Linked DNA regions of Rhinolophus ferrumequinum. The protein of the gene in region 2 purifies or fractionates together with the protein of the main gene of each other region. This does not show direct contact. Links are inferred from orthologs where the notes say so. Each region holds a gene or a part of one and is shown on either strand. Other genes may lie near its edges. The genes, in order: RPP40 and POP7.

Region 1 (11,246 bases), on a different chromosome or scaffold from region 2:
GGTTCAGGAATTCTACCTCTCTGAAGTCAGGGGGAATGACAGCCCTTAGACCTGCACTTCCAATGTGGCAGCCACTCACCACATGTACTGAGCACTTGAAATGTGGCTGGTCTGAATTATTATGTACTAGATGTATAAAATAGAGTGAATTTCAAGATATTTTACACACAAAAAATGTAAACTATTTCGTTAATAATTTTATATTGATTTCACATTAAAATAATATTTGGGATATATTGGGTTAAATTATATTATTACAATCAATTTCACTTGTTTCTTTTTATTTTCTTTAATGTGATTACTAGACCTTTTCAAATCTCAGGCTGCCTCCTCAGAAGACCAGAGGGCAAGAAGATGATGAAATCTGAAATTTTTGAATCATTTGTCGTTTTATCGTTTCCATTTGTGAATAAAAGATTTAATAAAGCTTTTTACCCTCATATAACCTTAAGTTGAAGGTTTAATATTAAAATACCTATCCTACATGCGTTTCAACATCGTGCTAGGACCCGCCATTGTTTCGCAGGGCGCTGCAGCCATGTGGAGACACTGTCCTCATCCTTAAGCCTTTACTATTTGGAGAGCTCAAGGATTGGCTGCAGGACCCTGTTTTCAGGTTTCTTAGACTTTCTTCCTCCAGTGTGATTAAAGAACAAGGCCAAAATTAAGTTTGAAGCTCTCAGAAACCAAAGGATTTGTCTTTCTGTGCTGTGGCTTACCAGCATTTTTAGTTTCTATTATCAGAAATACCAATTGCAGGTCGCAGCCGGGAAAAAGACCATGAGGAATTGAGAGGCACATTGCACCTAATCTGCACAGGCACGTGCACTGCTAAAAAGGGCCATAACTTCCAAAAATCTCTTAAGTTTTCAAGACTTAGTCCACACCAAGCATTAGACTGACAGCGCCCTGTGCCGCCAATGGTGTTGAAAGGTGACTACAGATGCTGAATCCAGGGCAGACAGGACTGTGTGCTGTAAAGGGAGCCACACATCACAGAAACACGAAGTCACACTTCAGGTAAAGCAAGCACTTTGACCAAGATTAGTTGACTCAAGGCAACTTCATTCTTTTTCTTTCCCAATAAACATTTTCAGGGTCAGAAGCCCAGACTCCACGTAGCAATGTTTTGATGACTGCTCAGCACTGAATACAAGAGGAATAAAGGAGATGAAACCCACACTTTAATTGTAAACAAATGTTGTCAGTGAAAACATTTCAGATCCGTAAGTCCATGTATCTATTAATCATCACAGTAATCTGAAATGCAAGGAAATGATACAGCATGTGTCACTTATAGGTTTCTTTTTCTCTTGTCCCCTCTTCATTTAAACATCTAAAGTTCCTAAGTACATAGATACTCTTTATGAGAAAAAAAAAGAAGAAACTCCCATTGATATCAATGTAAACATTTAATATTGGACAATCAGTTTTTTCATTTTCTATTTTGTCTGTATTGCTAAAGAGGCAAAGATATACAATTCTATATCTTAGATATTGCATTTTTGTAAAGACTGAATGTAATAAGCTTCATTCCTTCAATTATTAACAATAATTACAATTTGCCCGTTCTCTGCAGAATACACTTCCAGGAACTGTGGGGATGTGGAAAAGAAATAAATATTGTTTCTATGAGATGGTAAGTCCCTTGAAGGCAAGGACAGGAGATGGTCTCTCTGGTCCTTAGCAGTGTCTGGCACACCGCAGGCACTGCAGAGGTTGATGACTGCCTGAATGAATGAATACGGTACTTCCAATGGGCAGGAAGTCCCGCCCACACCTGGCACTGCGGTTGGCCATGTACACACGGACACTGCCTGGACCCCCACTCCGAGAATTACACTTGCAGCACACCACTTCCTCCCTGCAGCCCAGGGCAATGACTCCAGCTGTTGGAGAATTGGGGGACTTATCTCACCCCATGCTCTTATCTCACCTTCTTTCTTCCCCTCAAGTCTGTATCCAAGCTACCCTTCCACTTGAGTCGTTCCACTGCTCAAAGCTCCAGTCATTCTACCTGAAGCAGCTCTCCTCTTGCCTTTCTTCCCTCCCCCATCCCTGCTGCTGTATTGCTTTCTTTCATCAGTTTTTGTCTCCTTTCCTTGTAAAATAACTCTTCTACCACTTTCTACCTCATTGGCATTTATTTGGGAATCAGAAATTCACCCCACAGCTTAATATTCCATTTTTGGAATAAGTCAGTCACACTCTGGAACAAGCACCAGTGCCATCCACCTCCAGAGATCTTGAAAGTAGTTTAAGATCTTTTAGAACCTCCAGAGAAATCTTAATCTTTCCCATTTCCTTCTAGTCAAGCTTTTTTTTCCTCAAGTACCAGCATTGAAAATAAAGTTTTAAAAATTATTGTGCCAGCAAGAAAAGGAATGAAGTACTGATTATGTTGTCATATAAATGAACCTTGAAAACATTGTGCTAAGTGAAGGGAATCAGTCACAAATGTCTATTTATTATGATTCCATTTATATGAACTGTCCAGCAAAGACAAATCTACAGAGACAGAAAGCAGATTAGTGGTAGCTTAGGGCCTGGAGAGGACAGTGGGGAGGGTAGGAGGGTGATAGCTAAGGGTGTTCCTTTTTGAGGTGATGAAAATGTCCTAAAATTGACTGTGGTGTTGGTTGTATATATCTGTGAATATACTAAAAACCGTTAAATTGTACACTATAAATGAGTGAACTGTACAGTATAGAATTGTGTCTCAATAAAGTTGTTTTAAAATTTTAAAAATTATTATGAACTATTTCATACATTCAAAATTATATATATACATACATATATATGTTCATATATCCTGTACCTGTCACCTGCCTCATAAATACAACTTCACTGGTTTTGAAGACACGTGCGTGTCCTTCCCAATACAACCCCTTTGTGTTCTGCTTTTTCTCTATATTGAGATATAGTTGACATATAACATTATTAGTGTTCTGCTTTTAAAATACTCCTTCATTTGTACACTTCCATGTACTGACATAGCCTACATAGTTGTCATTTTTAATGTTTGTGTGCTTCACTGATTTCCAACCAGTCAGAGGGAGGACAGCTGAGGAGAGAGGAAATATCGTCTGACTTTGCACCTTGAGCAGAACTTCTGAGATTCAAGTCCTCTCATGGGGTGGACCATGGAGTATCGTTGGGGGCCATTCGTTTTTTTCCCTTGCAGCTGCTAGATCCAGTTTCCACTCTGTGTGCCATCAGAGGGCGGTTTTGTTTTTGTATACCAATAAGGGTCCATTTGTGGTGGCTGCCTGGAGTCCTGCACTGGAAAGAGCGCTGAGGTCAAGTTCAGGTTCGGCAGGACGGAAGCCTCTGATTTATTACAGGCATCTGCAAGTCAGTTCCCAGCACTGACGTCACTGCTACTCTGACTTGTAAGGAGGCGATGTTAAATGCATCCAGGGCGGTGCTGGGCACCAAAAAACAGGACTTAGTCACTCCAGGAGCTTCTGAGCTGAAGAGCTCTCTCCTTCCACGACTGCATATTGCTAGCTATATTTCCACATATATTTATAGCACTGCAATTGTGTTTTGGATTTGCACCCTGACCCAGGAATTAATTTATTTAAAAGAGTATTTCAACGTTTTCAAGGAGTTGAGCATCTTTAAATTCTGGTTATTTCTAATTTTATTGCACTGTAACCCCAAAATGTGGTATGTAAAATTTTTGCCCTTTTAGATTTACTAAGAATATTTTTATGTTTTTTAAGAATACAAAGGTATTTTTATTTCTTTGCAAGTCTGTTGACTTAGTTTTTAAAAACAAAATCATTTTGTTACTATATAGTGTGTGTATATATTATGGTTTTGTTTCCTGTGCTTTTTTCCCTTTTTTAGCCATTTTTTTTTCTGGCCCTTCATTCTCTCTTAGAGTTTTCTTTCTATGCCCTATGCTCTAGATCTAATACCTGTTTGTCAGTTAAGGTTGCTTTCAGTTCTAGAAACCAGGAAATCTGACACACAATAGTATGAACAAGGCTATGGTAGGAGGCCACAGAGGTGGGCGGGGACCAGGTTATCTAAGCTTTTATGCTACTGCAGTGAGAAGCCAGTAGCAGGTTTAAATGGGGGGTGGAGGGAGGTGGCATATATCATGTTTTTCATGTGTTCAAGAGATCATGCTGGGTGCTGAGTGGAGAGTAGACTGTAGGAGGGCAAGACAGGAAGCAGGGTCAGGAGGATGTGCCTGGCAGCAGACCAGAAAAAGAGGAAGGTGGCTGAAACTGGTAGTAGGAATGGAGAGAATGAAAAGAGACTGCAATCAGGATGCATGTTGAGGCAGAGCCAACAGAGGATTGCATATGGGGTGTGAAGGGAAGAAGAGTCAGGCATAACTCCTGAGTGTTCCCCACAGGGAAGAGAATCCAGGCAGTTTTCAGCATATAGATGTATTGAAAGCTGAGACTGCAGGATCATTCTGAATGGTCAGGCAGGGAAGAGAAGGGGGCTGAGAATCACTAGAGATCTTCTGGTGGAGGAGCAGGAGCAGGAAGAGGAGCTGAGTAAGGTGTGGGGGAGATCCAAGAGATGGAGGGGGTGGGTCTCAAAAATCCAGAGGAAAGTGTTTCAAGAAGGAATATTTTGAAATGTACCCAGGGATCATTACAGACACAGAACTCTGGGAAGGCAGGCTGAAAGGACTCCTCAGGCCCAAATTTACTTGAAGCTACAGCTTTAATCTATAAAATAAATGGACTTTTGCCTTCTGTTTCATAATACAGGCACACCCCGCCACAGAACAAATCCTCAAATAATGTATCCCTGGAAAGACACCTCTGTGTTTTGAATACCCAAACTACATAGCAGGTATTTATCGCTCAACACATTTTTCAGCTGTATATATATATATATATATATATATATATATATACAGCTGTATATATTTATATATATATATAAAATTTATATTGAGTCTTCAAAATTTAATAAAACTTAGTTTAGTGGCTTGCTAGAAAAGCTTCATCTTGCTCCCAAATACAGAATCACACTATACTTTGCAAAGCTTTGGAGTATCAACAAGAGATGAATATATCTGACGTGGCTGCTTTTGGAAAGGCCACTGATACTTAATTGTGACCAAGAAGCAATGTTTTAGGCATTTTACATCCAAATATATTTGTAGCTTATGTCTAGGTGCTGTATTGTGATTTAGGAAATTGGTAGATTTTTTCAATTGACTTGCTATTCCTTATAATTTTTTCCATTGAAAATAGGTTTTCCTTATTTTTTCCAGAGACAGCCTGACATTTCAGGCACAGGTTACTCACAACTGGCAAGGGATCTTCTAGCTTTGTCTTAAACTTTTAATACTTACCTTGTAAATTACTTAACTTGGGTTCTTCCAAATTTTATAGTCAAATTAATGCTCCAGAAAGTTGTACCACATATTCTACTGTTTGGTATCCTCTCTGCACAGAATTGGGGCTGTGCATACTTCAGTTTGAGAAGCAACTAGTCAGGTAGTACTTGAAGTTTATCAGAAAAATTAAATGGAAAAATAAATTATTACTGTAACCCCAACAGCAATAAATACTAAGAGGTTCCGGAAGGATAATTAAAAAGGGGTCTTAAAAGTGGTTCCAAAGGCGTCTTAGTGTAGTGCGGAAAACAGAAATTGGGTATTACCTTCCTAAACAAACTTCCTAACAGTTTAGGAAAGAGCAAGGTGGGGGTGGCGCTCATAGGGAGGATTTATGGCGAGACAGAAGTTGGGAGGGATGGAGGGTTTGGAGAGAAAGGTGGCTTTGGAATGACAAGTTCCATGTTCCCAGGTACCAGGTAATTCCATTTGACTCAGCGAACTTACGGTGCCAGGTACCCGTTAGTGAGTTTCTACTTGGATCCCAAAGAAGCCTGGGGCAGCCGGCACCGCCAGCTCCACCCCGACCTGGGGTCGGCCTCAAAGAGCGCCGCCGGGCCGCACTGCGCATGGCTCAGGGGCGGGGCGAAGGGAAGGGGCGGCGCGCCAGGCCCGCGGAGGTTCTGTGGCAGGGAAAGCATGGCCACCCTGCGCGGGCTGAGAGAGGTACCCCGGCACTTGCTGGTCTGCGAGAAATCCAACTTCGGCCACGACAAGTCGCGCCACCGGCATCTTGTGGAGACGCACTACCATAATTATAGGGTGAGTCGGGCCGCCCTCGGCTCGCGAGCTGGAGAGGCTTGAGAGGATCTGTACTCCGCTCTGCGTGGCGGGCCCGCCCTCGGCGCTGGGGGGCGGGGCCCTTCGCCGGGAGTGCTGGGAGCTGTAGTCTCTAAACGGGTCGGAGCTGGTTGCTGGCGGACCAGCCGGATTACAACTCCCAGGATGCGCCGCGAGCGGCGCGGTATCGGCCCTGGGGGAGACCTGGGCGGTGTGCGCCGGTAGCACGTTCCTCCCGTCCCTTCCCCGGCCCATTTGCAGAGCATCCCGGGGAGGGATGTGAGGGGCAGGGCCGCGACTGTTGCGAAGTGCAGCCGCCGGCCGGCCTCGTACAACTCGCTTTTTCCCCACATCGAAACCAGACTCGCCTCTTCCCCACCGCCTAATTCCTTCTCCCACCCGTGTGCCTGTGGATTTTTCAGAGCATCGTGCGGAGTCTACGCCCAGATAACGACTTGCTTTTCTAAACTGCTTATGGAAACTGGATTGATAGCTGAGAAACTTTCCACTTTGCCTGCCTGCTGCCCTATGTGTACTCAAGACACACTGTGCTATTTCGGCAGCTTTGGGGAGAAATTCGCTGTGATGGCCCCGCTAGCGAGCACAACCAAGAGTTTTAACAGGGTGGTAACAATGGCTGTTGTTGCTTCGTGAAAATGTCACCCTCAGGGGTGCCTTTTCCTCAGATGTGAAAGTCGAGGCATCTCAGTGAGGTTAATTATTGGTTTATCCAGGATCTGTTGTGAGTGGAGGAGAACAACCCAGATTCCCAGTCAAGTGTCTATAGGGCTGTTTTCACCAACCCATTTAAGTGGTGAGACCTCCAAAAAAATCAATCTCAAGATGATAATGGTTTAAGCCTTTAGCACGTTAAATTGATCAGCCTGATCAAAACTCAGGCCCGACTGGCCTGTTTCTCAGAGACTCAAGTGCTGACTCTGGCCCTTCCGGGACAGACTGGTGTGTCGGCAGCTTTGGGAGAGTGATTTTCAATGTGTGGAGCCTTGGGCAGCGTGTGAAACCCGTTAGGTTTTAACATCTCCGCTTTGGATGGAAAAACTACTCACAGATAGTAGTCAGGGACGTATGCCTTAACTCGCCAGGTCTGATCTGTAGAATTTTTCTGTCTATAAAATAGAAACATCCAGTAGCACTTCTGCTTCCATGTACCCTACTAATAATTGGTTCTGAAGAGGTAAATTCCTTATGCTCTAAGAGACATTTCCTGTGATTCAAACCCGCGACCAGGATAAACAAATTTAGGGATATTCAATTGTCCTATTTTCCCTAAAAATTAGTAAAAGGAACAGGACATATTTATAATGCTTCTTTGTAAAAAAATAAAATACTAGCACGACATTTCCATTATTTATTTGTTTTTTGGGGGTCATTCTCCTTCCTATACGATATTTGAATACAGAAATGAAAACTTGAATTGTCAGGTGTTTCTTTTCTTGAGATTGGTAAGTTAATTAATGAGAGTTTTGTAGAAATCTCTGGCGGTATAGTTAGCAGCCTTCATGATCTATATCATCGCTAAAATCCTGGGTGTTCAGCTACGTGAAAATAAAACTTGTTTATATTACACATTCCAATAGGTTTCATTTCTGATTCCTGAATGTGGTATACTGTCAAAAGAACTCAAAAACCTGGTCATGGAAACTGGATCCTATTACTTTGTGAAGAATTTACCTGTTCATGAGTTAATTACACAGGAATTCATCAATACCTTTGTAAAGAAAGGTAAGAAAAACCATGCAGTGTCTGTGAACGTGGCAAGATGAGGAAGTATGGTTAGATCACATCACAACACAAGGGTTTTTCTCTTGTGTTAAATCGGGCCTATGGAAATAGTCCGTGTGGTCAAGTGCATGCATTACTCTCCCCATTCCTCAGTATTCTTGCCCTGCTCTTCCACATGCTTTCATTAGGTGGTGGTTTCCGATGACATTTGTCCACAGGTGTTGCTTGGGGTTATTGTAACATGAAGGCATCCCTCATCTTAAAATAAAGATTAGTGAAGAGGAAACCCTTTTGATCTGTGTATTCAAATTCGGTGCTGTTGGGTATGTGCCTCCAAAGAACAGTATGCTCCCAGTACCATGTTTCCCGGAAAATAAGACCGGGTCTTACAGTAATATTTGCTCCAGAAGACGCATTAGGGCTTATGTTCGGGGGAATGTCATCCCAAAAAATCATGCTCGGGCTCATTTTTTGGTTAGGTCTTATTTTCGGGGAAGCACAGTAGTTCCCACAACAGATATCTGAAAGGTTGGTTTCGGATAGCAGCTGTTCACAGTGGTTTGGTGTCTTCTGCTTAGACTTGGTTCTGAAGAGGTAAATTCGCACCCTCCTCTGCTCACCCCATTCCCAGTCGTGTCTGGTGGGTGGATTGGATTATTCCAGTTGTTTCCTAGGAGCCACTTGTTTGAAACTATTTCAGAAAATCTTTCGGGATCGCACCCTCACACCGCACGTTACTGCACTTATAAGTAAGCAAGCCACTTACTTAGCTTGCGGTCAGACCGTGTTTTCCTCTCCAGTGGAGAATCCTAGTTCCTGGTAGCTCCTCTCACTCTGATGTTGCTGGGGCTGCTTATGAAGCTGGGCGTCTTGTCTTTGGTCTCATCGACATTGTTCCTTTCATCTGTTTTGAAGTTTGATGCTACTTTTTTAATATTAATAGTGTGGACACTGGCTATAGTAGGCACTTTTACATATCTTACCCAATTTAAACCCTTGCCACAACTCTATGAAATATGCCTGTGATCCCCATTTTACAGGTGAGGAAATTGAGGCTGGGAGAGATTAAGTAGTTTTCTTAACTTCTCACAAGTTCCTGGCTCATTTTGATTTTTAACCTGGAACTGTGCCTCTCAGGTGTGCACACTTACCTAGTATTCCACTTTGTGCCTTTCTGCCAGCATCCCCAAGGCACACATGCCATCCTGTGTCCATTTCCTGCTTGATAGTAGTCAGCTTATACGAACAGGTCTTGGGCGGGGGTTGAACTAACTGCTTGGCCTTTCGTGTTCTCCAGGTTAGCATTGGCAGGTTTTAGGTTTACTGAGTGAGCTGGAGCAGTGATTTGGATGATTTATTATCACGTAGAAATAATCCACTGACTTTTTGCAGGTCTGTTTTTTTTTTCCTTGCCTTAATTTTTCCTCTGGGCTTTCTCTTACAGGTTCATGCTATGCACTAACATACAATACAAATATTGATGAAGATAATACTGTTGCCCTGCTGCCAAATGGTAACAACACTCAGTTTTTTCTTTTTTGTTTAATTTTAGAAGAAATAGATACTGTAAAAAAAAGAAGGCAAATCATACAGATGTATATAAAGTGAAGGTTCCCCCCTCTCATCCCTATTTCTTCCAAACTCATTCCCTTTCTCAAAAGGAACTGTTGTTAATAGGTAAATGTTCATTTTTATAGACATTGTCTATGAATTTATACATACACATAAAGGTGCCTTTTTTTTTTTAACAAATTACGTCATATTATATTGTTTCTCAATTTGCTTTTTTCCCAAGCTATATATCATAGACATCTTTCCATATCAGTGCATATAGTTCTAATTTACTATTTTTAATGTCTTGAAGGTATCCCAAAGAAGAGGTATACAGTGGCTTATTTATTCCTTCTTCAGTAAAACTTAAATAAATTTCTAGTTTCACTATTGTAAATAATATCTTTGTATGTATAATGTATAAACAATACCCTTCAATTATAAATAAGATGTTTGTGTATATAAGTAATATCCTTATATTATAAATAAGATCTTTGTATGCAATTTATTGCACTGACACCTAACTGCTCAATTTGCCTTTCCTTTTTTTTTTTTTTCTAAAGATTTTTATCGGGGAAGGAGAACAGTGCGTATTTCCAGGACTTTAATGGGGAATAGTGTGTTTTTCCCAGGACGCTCCAAGTCAAGTTGTTATCCTTCAATCTTAGTTGTGGAGGGCGCAGCTCAGCTCCAAGTCCAGTCACTGTTTTTCAGTCTAGTTGCAGGGGCCGCAGCCCACCATCTCATGCGGGAGTCGAGCCGGCAACCTTGTTGTTAAGAGCACGCGCTCTAACCAACTGAGCCATCCGGCTGCCTCTCGGCAGCTCAGCGGCAGCTCAGCTCAACGTGCGGCGTTCAATCTTAGTTGCGGGGGTGCCTTGCTTTCTTTTAGTCAGTAAACATTAAGTCATATTTTTGACATCTCTTTTATGAGAATTATTTAATTCATAGGGAAATTAATTTTATCACTGGATAAAGACACTTATGAAGAAACTGGACTTCAAGGTCATCCATCTCAGTATTTTGGCAGAAAAATAATGAAATTTAGTAAGTATTACGCTTGCTCTATCAGTTTCGAACAAGGTAGTAATCTTGTAGCAATTTAAATTTAAATGTTTGAATTGCCTCTGTTCTCATTGTTCAGAAAAAGTATGGGTTCTTCTTGTCTTTAAAGCTTCTGACTCAAGGGACTCTCGGTTGGACCTCAGAGAGGATAAGATAAAGCTGTTGTACCTATTTCTCTTCAGCTGTAGGCTGCATCTTATAAAGGTTATAGAATTGGAATGGTCCATTAGATATTTATGTTTTGGGTCAAACATTCAAAGTAATGAACCCAAGGTAAGAGTCTATAACTTGTTCTCAATAAAGAATTTCCTTTGATTTTCCTAAGTCCCTGATCACAAGTAGAAATGTACTTATGAGTGAGGAGATGTGGTTCTGCTGTCAGTGTCTGGCTTGAGCATCAGTGGTTAAGGCTGCTGCCTCCATACTTAGAGGTGACTTCCCAAGGACCTCTGCCCTAGGTCTTTGACCTAAGAAAATATAAATGAAAAACATCTTTTATTAGTTCCCAATGCTAGAAATGCCCATTGAAGGCAAAGTTTTGATTTGGTAATCCAAAGAGAGTGCAGAACAAAGTAAAATTTGCTATCCATAAAGTTTCCAAAAATTCTGATTTTTTTTTTAATGTAACACTTTTTCCACAGTGCAAACTGTTTATATGTGAATGAAATATTTATTCCTCTTTCCATTTTTTAAGTTGTTTCCATTGATTTGATGGACTTATCTTTTAAGC
Region 2 (11,435 bases):
AGAGATGGGGGGAGGTGGGAGAAATACTTACGTGTAAGTCTAATAAAACATGTACAAAATCTACATGCTGAAAACTACAAAATACTGATGAAAGATATCAAAGAAGATCTAAGTAAATACAAAGATACACAATGTCCATGTATTAGAAGATTCAACATAGTAAAGATACCAATTCTCTCCTAATCTCTAGCTTTAATGCAATTCCTATGCTGAAAAGCCCAGCAAGAATTTTTTCAAATACAAACAAGTTTATTGTAAAATTTATATGGAAAGGCAAGAAAAGTTAAAGCAATTTCGAAAAAAAAAATATATCACCTGATTTTAACTTACTGTATAAACACAATATCAAGACAGTGTGGTAACTGCCAAGGAATAGACACAAAAATAAGTAAAATGGAAAGGAGGACCCAGAAATACATTCACACAAGTACAGCCAGCTGATTTTTGACAATGATGCAAAAGCAGTTGAACGGGGAAAGAACAAGTCTTTTCAGCAAGTGGTGCTAAAGCAAGTGGACAAATAGGCAAAGAACTAAACTTCAACCCTATGCAAAAAAATCAACACAAAATGGATGGCAAATCTAAATATAAAATGTAAAACTATAAAACTTTTAGAGGAAAACATCTTTACGACATAGGGTCAGGTGAAGTGTTCTTAGATACAACCTCAAATGCACAATCCATTAGAGAAAAAAATTGATAAATTGTACTTCATCAAAATTAAAAACCTTTACTCTGTGAAAAACCACAGTAATAGGATGAAAAAAAAGCCACAAACTAGGAGAATACGTTTGCAAATCATGTATCTGACAAAGAGCTTGTATCCAGAATATATAAAAAACTCTCTAAACTCAAGAGTTAGAAAACAAACCCAGTTAGAAAGTGGGAAAAAGTCTTGAACAGACACTTTAGCAACGGGGATATAAGTATGGCAAATAAGCACATAAGATGCTCAGTATTCTTAGCCATTAGAAATGCAAATTAAAACCATGACAACCACTACACACCTATTAGAATATCCAAAATAAAAAATCTTGACAATAACACGTGCTGACAAGAATGCAGAGAAACTGCATGTCTCATACACTGCTGTAGAACTGTTAAATGGTACAGCCACTCTGGAAAAGTTGGGCAGTTTCTTCTAACACTAAAAATATACTCACCATATGACCCAGCAAGAACACTCCTAGGCATTTAAAACCTGTACACACATGTCCATAGCAGTTTTATTTATTGATAAAAGTGAACTGGTATCTTAAAATGCTTACCCAATACCAGTTCACTTTTATCATTATAATAGCCTAAACTGGAAACCCCCAGGTGTCTTTCAGCAGGTGAATGGTTAAACAAACTGTGATACATCCACACCATGGAATACTATTCAGCAATAAAGGTGGGATCAAGGAGTCCTGTTAGATGGAATACTGGTGATATCATAGAATACTGTGCTAAGCAGCTCAGTTTCGTGTGGAAGGCAAACAACATGAGCAAGACAGTGTGACCAGTGGAGGGAATGTACAGGATTTGGTGGACCCCCAAGGAAGAACAGCCAATATGACCTTGGGGGATCCAAGGTTTTCTAAAGGAAGCAATGGCTAAGCTGAGACAGGAATGCGTAGCAGTGGGGTTCATATCCTGTGTAGTCCCTCCTGCTACAATGGAGAGGCTTAGAAGGACTATGCCCTGGGACATAGGGGAGAAGAGGAGGAACAGCTTGTGAGGTAGGAGGAAACCCAGGATGGAAGCCAGGTGAAGAAAGCAGTTCCTGGAGGAGGGAGTGGTGTCATGCTGCTCAGAGGCCACACACGATAATGGGCCGGTGGCTTTAGCCATGTGTCGGTCATTGGTGACCTGACAAGCAGTTACATTTGGTCGACCACCATAGAACTTGGCACATGGCAGAAACTCATTCTGAATGAAATACATTAGTTTTAAGGTCCATTTTGTCTCATATTTAACAATAAGCACAGTTTATGAACTACCATTCCATTACTCAGGTTGTGTGTCTTTTCATGATGTCTAAAATGTTTTCTATACTTTGTCATCCAGATAAATGTAAAGGTTCACAATTTAGGTGGGTGAACCAAGCTCTGTCACAAACTGATGTGACACTAAAGATGGTCCTTATCTTTTCGCATTTTACTGAAGGCAAACACCGGCAGAGGAATCTGCCATTAAGAAAAAAGGCAAAGCTTGGCTGTTTAGTCTTGAGACCTCCCTCTCATCTAGATTTATCATCTAACCAAATTTCTTTTAGTTCCAAAGCTTCTACATTTAAAACAACACAGACCAAGACATTTTACAGCATAGCACCTGAATAAACAAAAATATTTTAGGTCCAAGTGATTTCTAATTTTTTTTCTTTAATCCTGTATGAGAGATTCAGTCTGATATCATAGTTTCTTTTCTCACAGAGGGCACTTATGCGGTTCATTTCCAGTGTCAGCAGCAGCAGGGTACCCACTTTACAGTTGGGGGACATTACTTGCCCAGGGTCACAAGCTGGACACATGGAACCATGGGTTATCACTCTTAATTTTCTACCCTCTCCTTGATTCAGTGCATCTAGTGGGTGCTACTTTCAGAACAAAAGCATTTTCATGGTAGCATCCTAGGCCCTCAACTGAGTTTCACTTCACTTCTCATCCAACTAGCAATCCAGATCGTCTTCCATCAGCCTGGTCTTCCATCATCCTTACTATTCTCAAAGGAATGCCCACTTTTCCTAAATCTATCCAAATCCTGCCCTTCCTTCCAGTTCAGCACAAACCACCGTCCCCAACATTTTCCAATCCACAGATGTCCCCTCCCCCATTGTCCCTGCACCATTTCTCCACCATAACTTACAATCTCACTTTCGCCAATTAATCAATAAAACATGCTAAGACCGCACTCATTCAGAAGTTAGACTACTGGTAATTTCAACTACCCAGAATACAATCTAGCGAAGTTAAGAAAAACAAAAACAAGAAAAGTTTTTGAGTAAGAAAAAACAGCTGTCATAAGCTTATGAGCTTTATTCTAGGAGAATTCTGACCCAAGATTAAATTCTGTTGATACATTTTTATACACTGTTAACAATCTGAATATTGTGGACCCTGTGGAACCACAAGCCCCTATTAGCTAACATTTATGGAGTGCTTGTCCTGTGCCAAGCACTGTGTTAAGTGTTTTACCATACAATCCACAGAGGAGAGCGATTAATGAACTTGCCCAAGGCCACTGTTGGTAATGGAAAGAAGCACAGAAGCCGTTGCTTTAAACAATTGCATTTTCCAGCTTGTGAGCAAGCAGCTTGACTGACAACACTGAGGCAGGAATCAAGACCGCAAGAAAGTCAGCAGAACTGAAAAAAAACGACACTAAAACTACAAGTACTTAGAAGCCTGGGGGATACTCCGTGCGGGAACAAAGGGCTTTGCTTGTAGTAGCTCCTAAGGTCCGCACTCTGTTATGGCACAACACAGGGGATTCAAGTTCCAAGTCTAAACTTAACTTTCCCTGTCTTGAGGATTATTTTGTATTTGGTAACAGTTCTTTTAGGATGCTGGGTAGCAGAGCACACATTCTGGAATGACCTCCAAGGAAAATGGTGGAAACACACACAAAACTTTTTCATTCGAAAAGGTTCAGGGATTCAGAAAAGTAATTCCTGAAAACCTATGTTTTAAACAAAGGAGTTGTCAATCTAAGTCTTACATTTGCATAGTAGTTAATCGCTTTTCAAAGTCTTTCACATTCACCCATTTTACTGCTTTCAGCGTTCCAGGAAGGGCGTGGAGTGGGGGCCAGCCAGGTACGGGGCAGAGGACAGCATTAACTGCTTACTATACGAGAAAGCTTCAACTCTTCCTCGGTAGCGGAGCCAGGTAAAACTCCAGGTCTCACCAGTCAGCGCTGCCTGGGACTGTTTCTAAATCATTAGGTTCCTCAGTTATTGTATATATCCCAGGACGTCTGATAAACACACCTCGAGATCGTTTGTAGTCTCTTTCAATGCAGGCGGGCTTCCTGGAGGAAGCCGTCCGACCGGGAAAGGCCGGTGATGCCACTAGCTGCGGCCCCGTCGCGATGGTCGCGCGTCACGTGCCGGTGGATAGCCGCGGAGTACAACGGGGACACCTCCCACCCATCTGCCCGCAGCAGCCCCCGCGTCACGTGACGAGCCGGGCTCCCGGGTCACGTGCCGGGGGGGGTCGGAGGCGGCGGGCGTCCGGGCCGCGCCGGCGGGGCACGCGGGGAGCGCGCGAGGCCGTGCGGGTCCGAGCGGGCGGGAGCCGCGGAGGGAGGAGGCGGCGGCGGCGGAGGGGGCGGCCCCGCGGCCCCGCGTCCGCGTCACGTGGTACGAGGCGGGCAGCCATCTTGCTACAAACACAAACAGAGAGGAGCGGCCGCCGCGGGAGCGCCAGCGCCCCCTCCCCCGCCGCCGCCCCCGGCCCGCCGCGCGCCGCCCGCCCGCCGCCCACGCCCCGCGACCGGAGCCTCGCGCCGCCCGCCCGCCCGCCGCGGTAAGCGCTCGGCGGTCCCGCAGCCCCTGGCCCGCAGTCGGGCCCGGGGCAGGCCCGCCCCCGACGCCGAGGCGACCGCGTCGAGCCTGCGAGAGCCGGAGCCAGAGCGCGGGCCGCCGGCACGGACCTCCCCCAGCTCCTCCCGTGGCCGCTGCCGCCGGGTGCGTCCGCCCCCCGGCCCTCCCCCCGGCGCGACGGCCCCCTACGCGGCCGTCCCTCCCGGGGGGTGGCCGCCCTCACCCACGCCCCGCGCACCTGGCGCCCCTCCCTGAAGGGCACGCCGTCCTCCCGGCCAGTTTGCCTCCTTCCCACCCCCGCGTTCCTAACGGTCGTCTCCTGCCCCTCGGAAGCTCGGTCCAGGGCCCCCGGCCTCCCCCGCGCCGCATCCTCCGCCGGGCCCGCGCGGAGGCCCCCGACCCGAATGCCGGGCGCTCCCCAGAGATTCCTTAACGTGTCTCGGGGTTCTTGTCAAAATTAGCTGGGCCCTGCGGGTTTCAAGTCCACGCGTTGCACGACTGGCTAATGTGGAAGCCTTCTCCCCTTAAGCAGAGTACCTCTGCTGGGTCTTCACCTGAATTTCCTTTCAGTCAGCAACATTAGTGCTTGGTCATTGGGGTCTCCTTCCTCCCGGTTGCCCAGCCATGTTAAACACGTTAGTCTTTTTTTGTCGCCAGGCTTGGCCCTTCCCAGCCCAATCCCCCTGATGCAGCAGCTCCCTGGCCACGGCCCCCTTACACTTTCCCCTTTTTTGAGTTAACTTTAAGGAGACCCTCATCTCGCACCTCACCCAGTCGTTACTAGAATTCTAGTAAGCTTCCAGCCCTGGTCCATCATAGCGCCAGTCCCTGGGAGATGCTAAATCAATACTTCTTGGCCTATTCTTTCCTCCAGGCACCCCAGTCTTACTCCCCTCTTGCTGTTCAGTGCTGCGTTCCCAACAATCATCACCCTTTACACTACCTCTCCAACGCCCCTTGGAGATGACATGCCAGTTACAACTTAGCCTCCCACCAAGAGCCCCCTCGTTTGCCTCTGCAGCTCAAACACCATGCGTCCCCTCTGCGGCTCGCACTTTGGGAGTTTGCTCTCTGGTTCCTTCATCTGTACCGTCCCCTGTGCAGTCCCAGGTCTCCAACCCTCACTCCAGCTCGTTTTGTTTCCTACATTGTAGGTGTAGCATGTCATTGGGAAAGGTTGGGGCAGATGTGTACTGTATGTTGCCATCGCTGGGGGCAGGGGCCTCAAATGTCCCATGTGTTAATTACAGTCAAGTGAGTTGTGTGCTTAGACCCCCGGCCTGGCATTTTCAGCCAATGGACGTATTAGTATTGTGTGTGATTTGATGGATTAAAAGACCCGTTCGTCCTCGCTTTTATTTCTGTATTTGGGATTTGGAATAGAGCTGAGAGGGTGAAAAGAGGCAGCTACGTGAAGGATTTTAAAATTTCTCTAATGAGAAATTTAAAATGACTTGAAACTCACAAAGTATGTTTGAGAGTTTGGGATGGTTCTTGCTGCTTACGTGCCCCTTCAGTTGCATGGTGTCTAGGGACGTCCGGGTCCCCTGCCGTTGCAGCTGCAGCCTCCCTTGTTTTCCCTGGCTGGAACCCAAGACTGGGCAAGTGGGCAAAAGGGATCAAATGAGGTAAAGTGTGGAATTGCTTTGCAAACTGTTAACTAATAGACATGCCGAGGGGCAGAATTTGTCAGGATTGTTCAGAGAGTAGAGAGCTGGGATAGCTGACCATCCGAGAGGAATGTGGGCTTGCACCCCCTTTTTAAGCCTCTTAAGTTTTCATCCTACCATGCTGGGAGAATCTTTCCATCTTGCGAAAGGGCGGAGTCACCTCCAACAGGCTTGGAGCTGGGCGATTGCTCAAATGTTGGGGAATTTGGGATTCTACTTCTGTTAATAGTGGTACCTTTCTGTGCCAAGGCACATTGCTCTGGATTGGGGCTAATTTTAGGGGTGATGGAATGAGGAAATAATGTTCTTAACTTAGTGTGTACTGGGACCGCCTAGTCTCTGAATCTTTGCCTTTTGTGAATTCTGAACCCCAGAGAACAGGCTCCCCTCTTATTCCCTGAAGCCTGTTGTGAGCACCCAGGACCAGTGTGTGTCCTTTCCCCTTGATTCCGGCAGGGGGCAGCCTTTTAATAGCAATAATTCAGATGCCAGGAGAGTGAGGGTATGCTGAGGCCTGAGAACGAAGAGCCAGTACAGATGAGGCAGGCGGCCTCAGGGCAGGGCAAGCGGTGGGGCTAAGCTGGAATGAGCCTGTGAGGAGACCCTTAGATCAAGTAGCCAGGAAAGGCCGTGTCCCGAGTCCTCTGCTGCCTTTCTCACTCTTTCCTTCACTGGAAAGGGATCCAAACGCTTGCCTTTGAGAGTTTGTGATAGAGAAATTTGGGACAGTTTCTTTCAACCTAGTGTTTTCCCAAGGATTTCCCTCTTGGCAGAATTTCATATTTCTCTCATGGGACAGTATAATTAGGGAATGATTTCCTTGCTCTTCAGTGGGAGAATGAACTGCAGTAAATTTGGTTTCTGTCGTCTTCCATTCTTCCCCATAAACAGAATAGGATTGATTACCTGTGCTCATGGCATAGAGGAGGGTTTCTTAACCGTGGCACTAGTGACATTTTGAGACAGATAATTCTCTGTTGTGGGGGCCGACCTGTGTATTGTAGGATTTTAGCAGCATCCCTGGCCTCTACGCATTAGATGCCAGTAGTAATTCCCAGTCATGTCAACCAAAAATGTCTCCAGATTTTGCCAAATGTCCCCTGGGGAGCAGAGTCACCGCCCCCTCCCCCCAGTTGAGAACTGCTGGCTTCGAGGAAGCATGTGGAAAAGACGCACATATCTGCTTGGAGGGGTGCAAACCATGGGAGTTAATGCTTGCTGCTTGTCAAGGAAGGGCCAGTCAGCCACCAGCACTGGGACCAATCCTCTCCTGGCTGGGCCCGCCAGGAGACTTGGCCTTTTTCTCCAGCTGCTCCTGTGCTTCCTCTTCCCCCCTGACTGCCTCTCCCTTTGCCTCTGCAGTTTTCTTGCTTTTCACACTGGAAGCCGCTTTCCTCACTTTGCTCCTTAAAACCAGGACAGAAAGGTGAAGGCCAGACGTGGAAAGTACCAAGGAGAGCCACCTTTGCCACTCCTTGGCAGGGTGGGAGGGTGAGTTGTCCCTCTTCTGTTCCCCCCTCCCCACAGTAGCCTTCCATGTCACAGGACTCCTGTTCCTCTAGAAGACAGGCTCTTCTGGAGTGAACCGGAGGAGGCTCAGAATAGCCTCTCCTGAGATTTGTTTGAAGAATATGAGGTGTTGTTTTGGAATTGGGAAGGCTTAGGTATGTAATGGCTATTCCCAAATGCCTTTTTTTCCTAAACCTTTTTTAAATGGTGGTAAAGTATAACATATACCTCTTTTTAAAATTTTTTTTTTTTAAATTGGGGAACAGTGTGCTTTTCCAGGGCCCATGAGCGCCAAGTTGTTGTCCTTCAATCTAGTTGTGGAGGGTGCAGCTCAGCTCCAAGTCCAGTTGCTGTTTTCAATCTTAGTTGCAGGGGGCGCAGCCCACCATCCTGAACCTGCAATCTTGCTGTTGAGAACTCTTGCTCTAACCAGCTGAGCCATCCGGCCACCCCTAACATACACCATTTTAACCATTTTTAAGTTTACAGTTTTGCAACATTAAAGATGTTCACATTGTTCGACCATCACCACCATCCTGTCCAGAACTGTTTCGTTTGCCCCATTTCAGCTGAAACTCTGTACCCATTAAACAACAACTCCCCGCTCCCCTTGCCCCGTAGCCCTGGCACCCACCATACTACTTTCTTGTCTCTTTGAATTTGACTCCTCTAGTAACCTCATGAGAGGAATCATACAATGTCTGTTCTATTGTGACTGGCTCGTTTCACTTAGCATAATGTCTTCAAGTTTCATCCATTGGCCAAATTACATAAGGATTGTAGTGTAGAAAGAATTAACCTTACTCTACTGTCCTGTGAGTCCTACTTGAATTCCGTGAAAGGAAGAGCTTTCAACAGACTTTTCTTCTTGTTCCCTCCGGTAGAAACGCTTCTTCCTTCCGTCCCAGAGTTGTGGAGTTTTAGAGTTGATGGGCATCGTGGAGGCGCTCCGGTCCAACCTCCCCCCCAGCCACTGAGGGAACCCTTGCGCAGCCCCCTGAGACCCTGTCTGCTCGTCCTCTGCTCGGAACCGCCAGGGATGAGCTGCCTCCTGAGAATCTCCTCTGCTGATCCTTAGAGGGACAGGTCACTGCCACCACTGCCACTTCTGTCAGTCTCAGTAACTGACCGTATTTCTACTTTATGGTAAGGGGCCTTCTTCCTAGCTTGTATCTTAATAACGTTGTTCCCTTCTTGGCACTTTGTACTTGTGCTTGGGCTCTTCCAGGTCCAGGGAAGGGGCCTGGGTGTTGGTTCCTGTTTGGTAAACCAGTCCATGGGTGTGCTGGCTGGACTCGCCTGCCTGCAGCCTTCAGTGTTTCTGCCCCACCTTTGGCTCTGGAATAGCATCCCCACCCCAGTTCCCCTGAACTGGGTTTCTCTCAAAACTGAGTCTCTGGATTCTAGCCACCAATAGCCAGCTCTGAGATTTTTCAGGAGGGAAGTAATTTTCTGCCCAGATTAATTTCTAATCCTTCTCTCCATAACCTTTCCTCTTTAAAATATTTGTGGTTCCAGTGGTTGGTTGGTTTGTTTGGTTGTTTTTGTTTTATCTTTGTCCTGAACGTCCGTGCAAACCTTAAACACCCCCTTACTGAATACCGCCATGCAGGAAAGAGTGCTGAGCCCCAGAGAGGTGCCGCGTGTGTTCTCTGCCACACCTCCAGCACCTCAGACATGCTTTGCTAAGTGAATTAACTGCTCGTGAGGCCAAATGTGGGGGACAGAGATGAGCAGGAGCAGGGGCTGTGGTCCCTATTATACAGGACAGAGGAGGGCTAGAAGCAGGGAGGGCTGTCTGACCCAATTCATTTAACCCGCCTTCTTCCCCTCACCTCTCGTTAAGGGTCTTGCCCAAATGTGAAGGTCCTTCCCCAGGTACCACTGCGGTCACACCAACGTCCAGTTGCTTGGAGACCCTGGTTCATTCCAGCATAGGCTCCTGCCTGAAGAGAGTCAGGCCCCCACTCTAACTGCTTCCTGGGGTAAGGCTGCCAGGTGAGTCGGGGGTGAGGGAGGGACTCCTACAGAAGCTAAAAGGGGATCTGGCTGCCCTGTTTCCGTCCTCCCTCAGGTCTTCTCCCTTTGGTTAGCTCTTTGGTTATTAACTCATGGTGTGAGTGGCATGTGGGTGGTTTAGGTGAGTCCTTTGAGACCCATTACTGTGCCCACCAAGGTGAGGACATACTCCTCGTCCTCTCAGGGTTGTTTGGGTGTATTGCTTCTAAGCCCAGTGTCCCCCATGTCTCCACAGGTGTTTGGAGAGTGAACGCCAGGTCCCCTCGTCCCTGTGCATCTCCTCCGACCGTTAGGACACGCTCAGCTTCACAATGGCAGCAGAGACCCTCAACTTTGGGCCTGAGTGGTGAGTCAGATGTGCTGTGGGTGGCATGGGGAAGCTGGGAAGAAGAGGGTTGCTCAGACACCTGTCTTTCTCCTTCCCTGTGTCCCTTCTGTAGGCTGAGGGCACTTTCAAGTGGTGGCAGCGTAGCCTCCCCACCCCCATCCCCCGCCATGCCCAAATACAAGCTGGCTGACTATCGCTATGGGCGAGAGGAGATGCTGGCCCTCTACGTCAAGGAGAACAAGGTAGGGGGTGGCGCAGGGTGGGGTGTGTGGCCCAGTTGCCCGTGTGGCCTCCGCCAGTGGACAGGGCCCAGAAGCATGTGGTGTCTTGGCCCGCCTGCCCCATTGCCAGGTGCCTGATGAGCTGCAGGACAAGGAATTTGCTGCGGTGCTCCAGGAAGAGCCGCTGCAGCCCCTGGCACTGGAGCCTCTGACCGAGGAGGAGCAGGTGGGGCCGGGCTGGGCAACTGCAGGCTGGCGTGCTGAGGCTCCACCTTTATAGGGGGCTGGAGTTGGGAAGACAGGTGGTGGAGGGTGCAGTTCTGGACAGGGTGGGGGTGGTCAGGTGCCTGGGTCCTCACTCCCACCCCTGGCTCCCTCCTCAGAGAAACTTCTCCCTGTCAGTGAACAGTGTGGCTGTGCTGAGGCTGATGGGGAAAGGGGCTGGCCCCCCCCCAGGCGGCGCCTCCCGTGGCAGGGGCAGCACGCGGAGCCGAGGTAGGGGGTGATGATGTGTTGTGGGGACAGCAGAGGCGGGGCCTGTGGTCTTGAGGATGTGCAGAGATGATCTGGCATGTTTCCCGTGTGTGTCTCATTCGTTCTCCAGGCCGCGGCCGTGGTGATAGTTGCTTTTACCAAAGAAGCATTGAAGAAGGCGATGGGGCCTTTGGTCGGAACCCCAGGGAGATCCAGCGTAGCCAGAGTTGGGATGACAGGTGCAGGCTGGAAGGAGGGGGCTTAGCAGCAGAGCAGAGAGAAGCCCCGGGGTTAGATCCAGAGTCCCATGGAGGGAGGTTTAGGTTTTGTCATTAGAGGGCAGCAGGAGACCTACTAAATAAGCCCTGGTCAGAGATCGTTTTCTCTACCCTCTAACCCTCGTGGTCCTGCCCTTTCCTTCTGATTCTCTCAACTCCCCATGGGCTCCCTCCCTAGCCTGACTTTTCCCTAGTCCCCTGTCCCCTCCTTCCCTTCACCTTTCTCAGGGCAAAATGGACAGGTATACAGAGATCCCGCAGGTCGGGGAGGGGAAGCTGTCCTCCTTTGACCAACACCTGTCTCTCCTGCAGAGGCGAGAGGCGGTTTGAGAAGTCGGCCAGGAGGGATGGAGGTATGGATAGTGGGGAGGGTGGTGCTAGACCCTGAAGGTCATTGAGAGGGCGAGGGGA

The links.
Region 1: the proteins of POP7 (region 2) and RPP40 purify together in Homo sapiens (co-immunoprecipitation; 4 studies listed by BioGRID and IntAct, with this or other methods). This does not show direct contact. The link is inferred for Rhinolophus ferrumequinum from reciprocal best matches to the Homo sapiens genes POP7 and RPP40.

The regions. Positions count from the first base shown.
Region 1 is NC_046292.1:88,846,541-88,857,786, forward strand, and holds the start of RPP40 (ribonuclease P protein subunit p40), read left to right. Parts: upstream 1-5,973; 5' UTR 5,974-6,016; coding exon 6,017-6,139; intron 6,140-6,192; exon of another isoform or gene 6,193-6,870; intron 6,871-7,755; coding exon 7,756-7,900; intron 7,901-9,344; coding exon 9,345-9,413; intron 9,414-10,402; coding exon 10,403-10,498; intron 10,499-11,210; coding exon 11,211-11,246. UniProt on the Homo sapiens protein: Component of ribonuclease P, a ribonucleoprotein complex that generates mature tRNA molecules by cleaving their 5'-ends. Also a component of the MRP ribonuclease complex, which cleaves pre-rRNA sequences.
Region 2 is NC_046290.1:90,967,377-90,978,811, reverse strand, and holds the start of POP7 (ribonuclease P protein subunit p20), read right to left. Parts: upstream 4,236-11,435; 5' UTR 3,971-4,235; intron 1-3,970. Other genes in the region: GIGYF1 (GRB10-interacting GYF protein 1), read left to right, coding at 10,035-10,069, 10,164-10,293, 10,403-10,498, 10,656-10,767, 10,877-10,985, 11,337-11,377. UniProt on the Homo sapiens protein: Component of ribonuclease P, a ribonucleoprotein complex that generates mature tRNA molecules by cleaving their 5'-ends. Also a component of the MRP ribonuclease complex, which cleaves pre-rRNA sequences.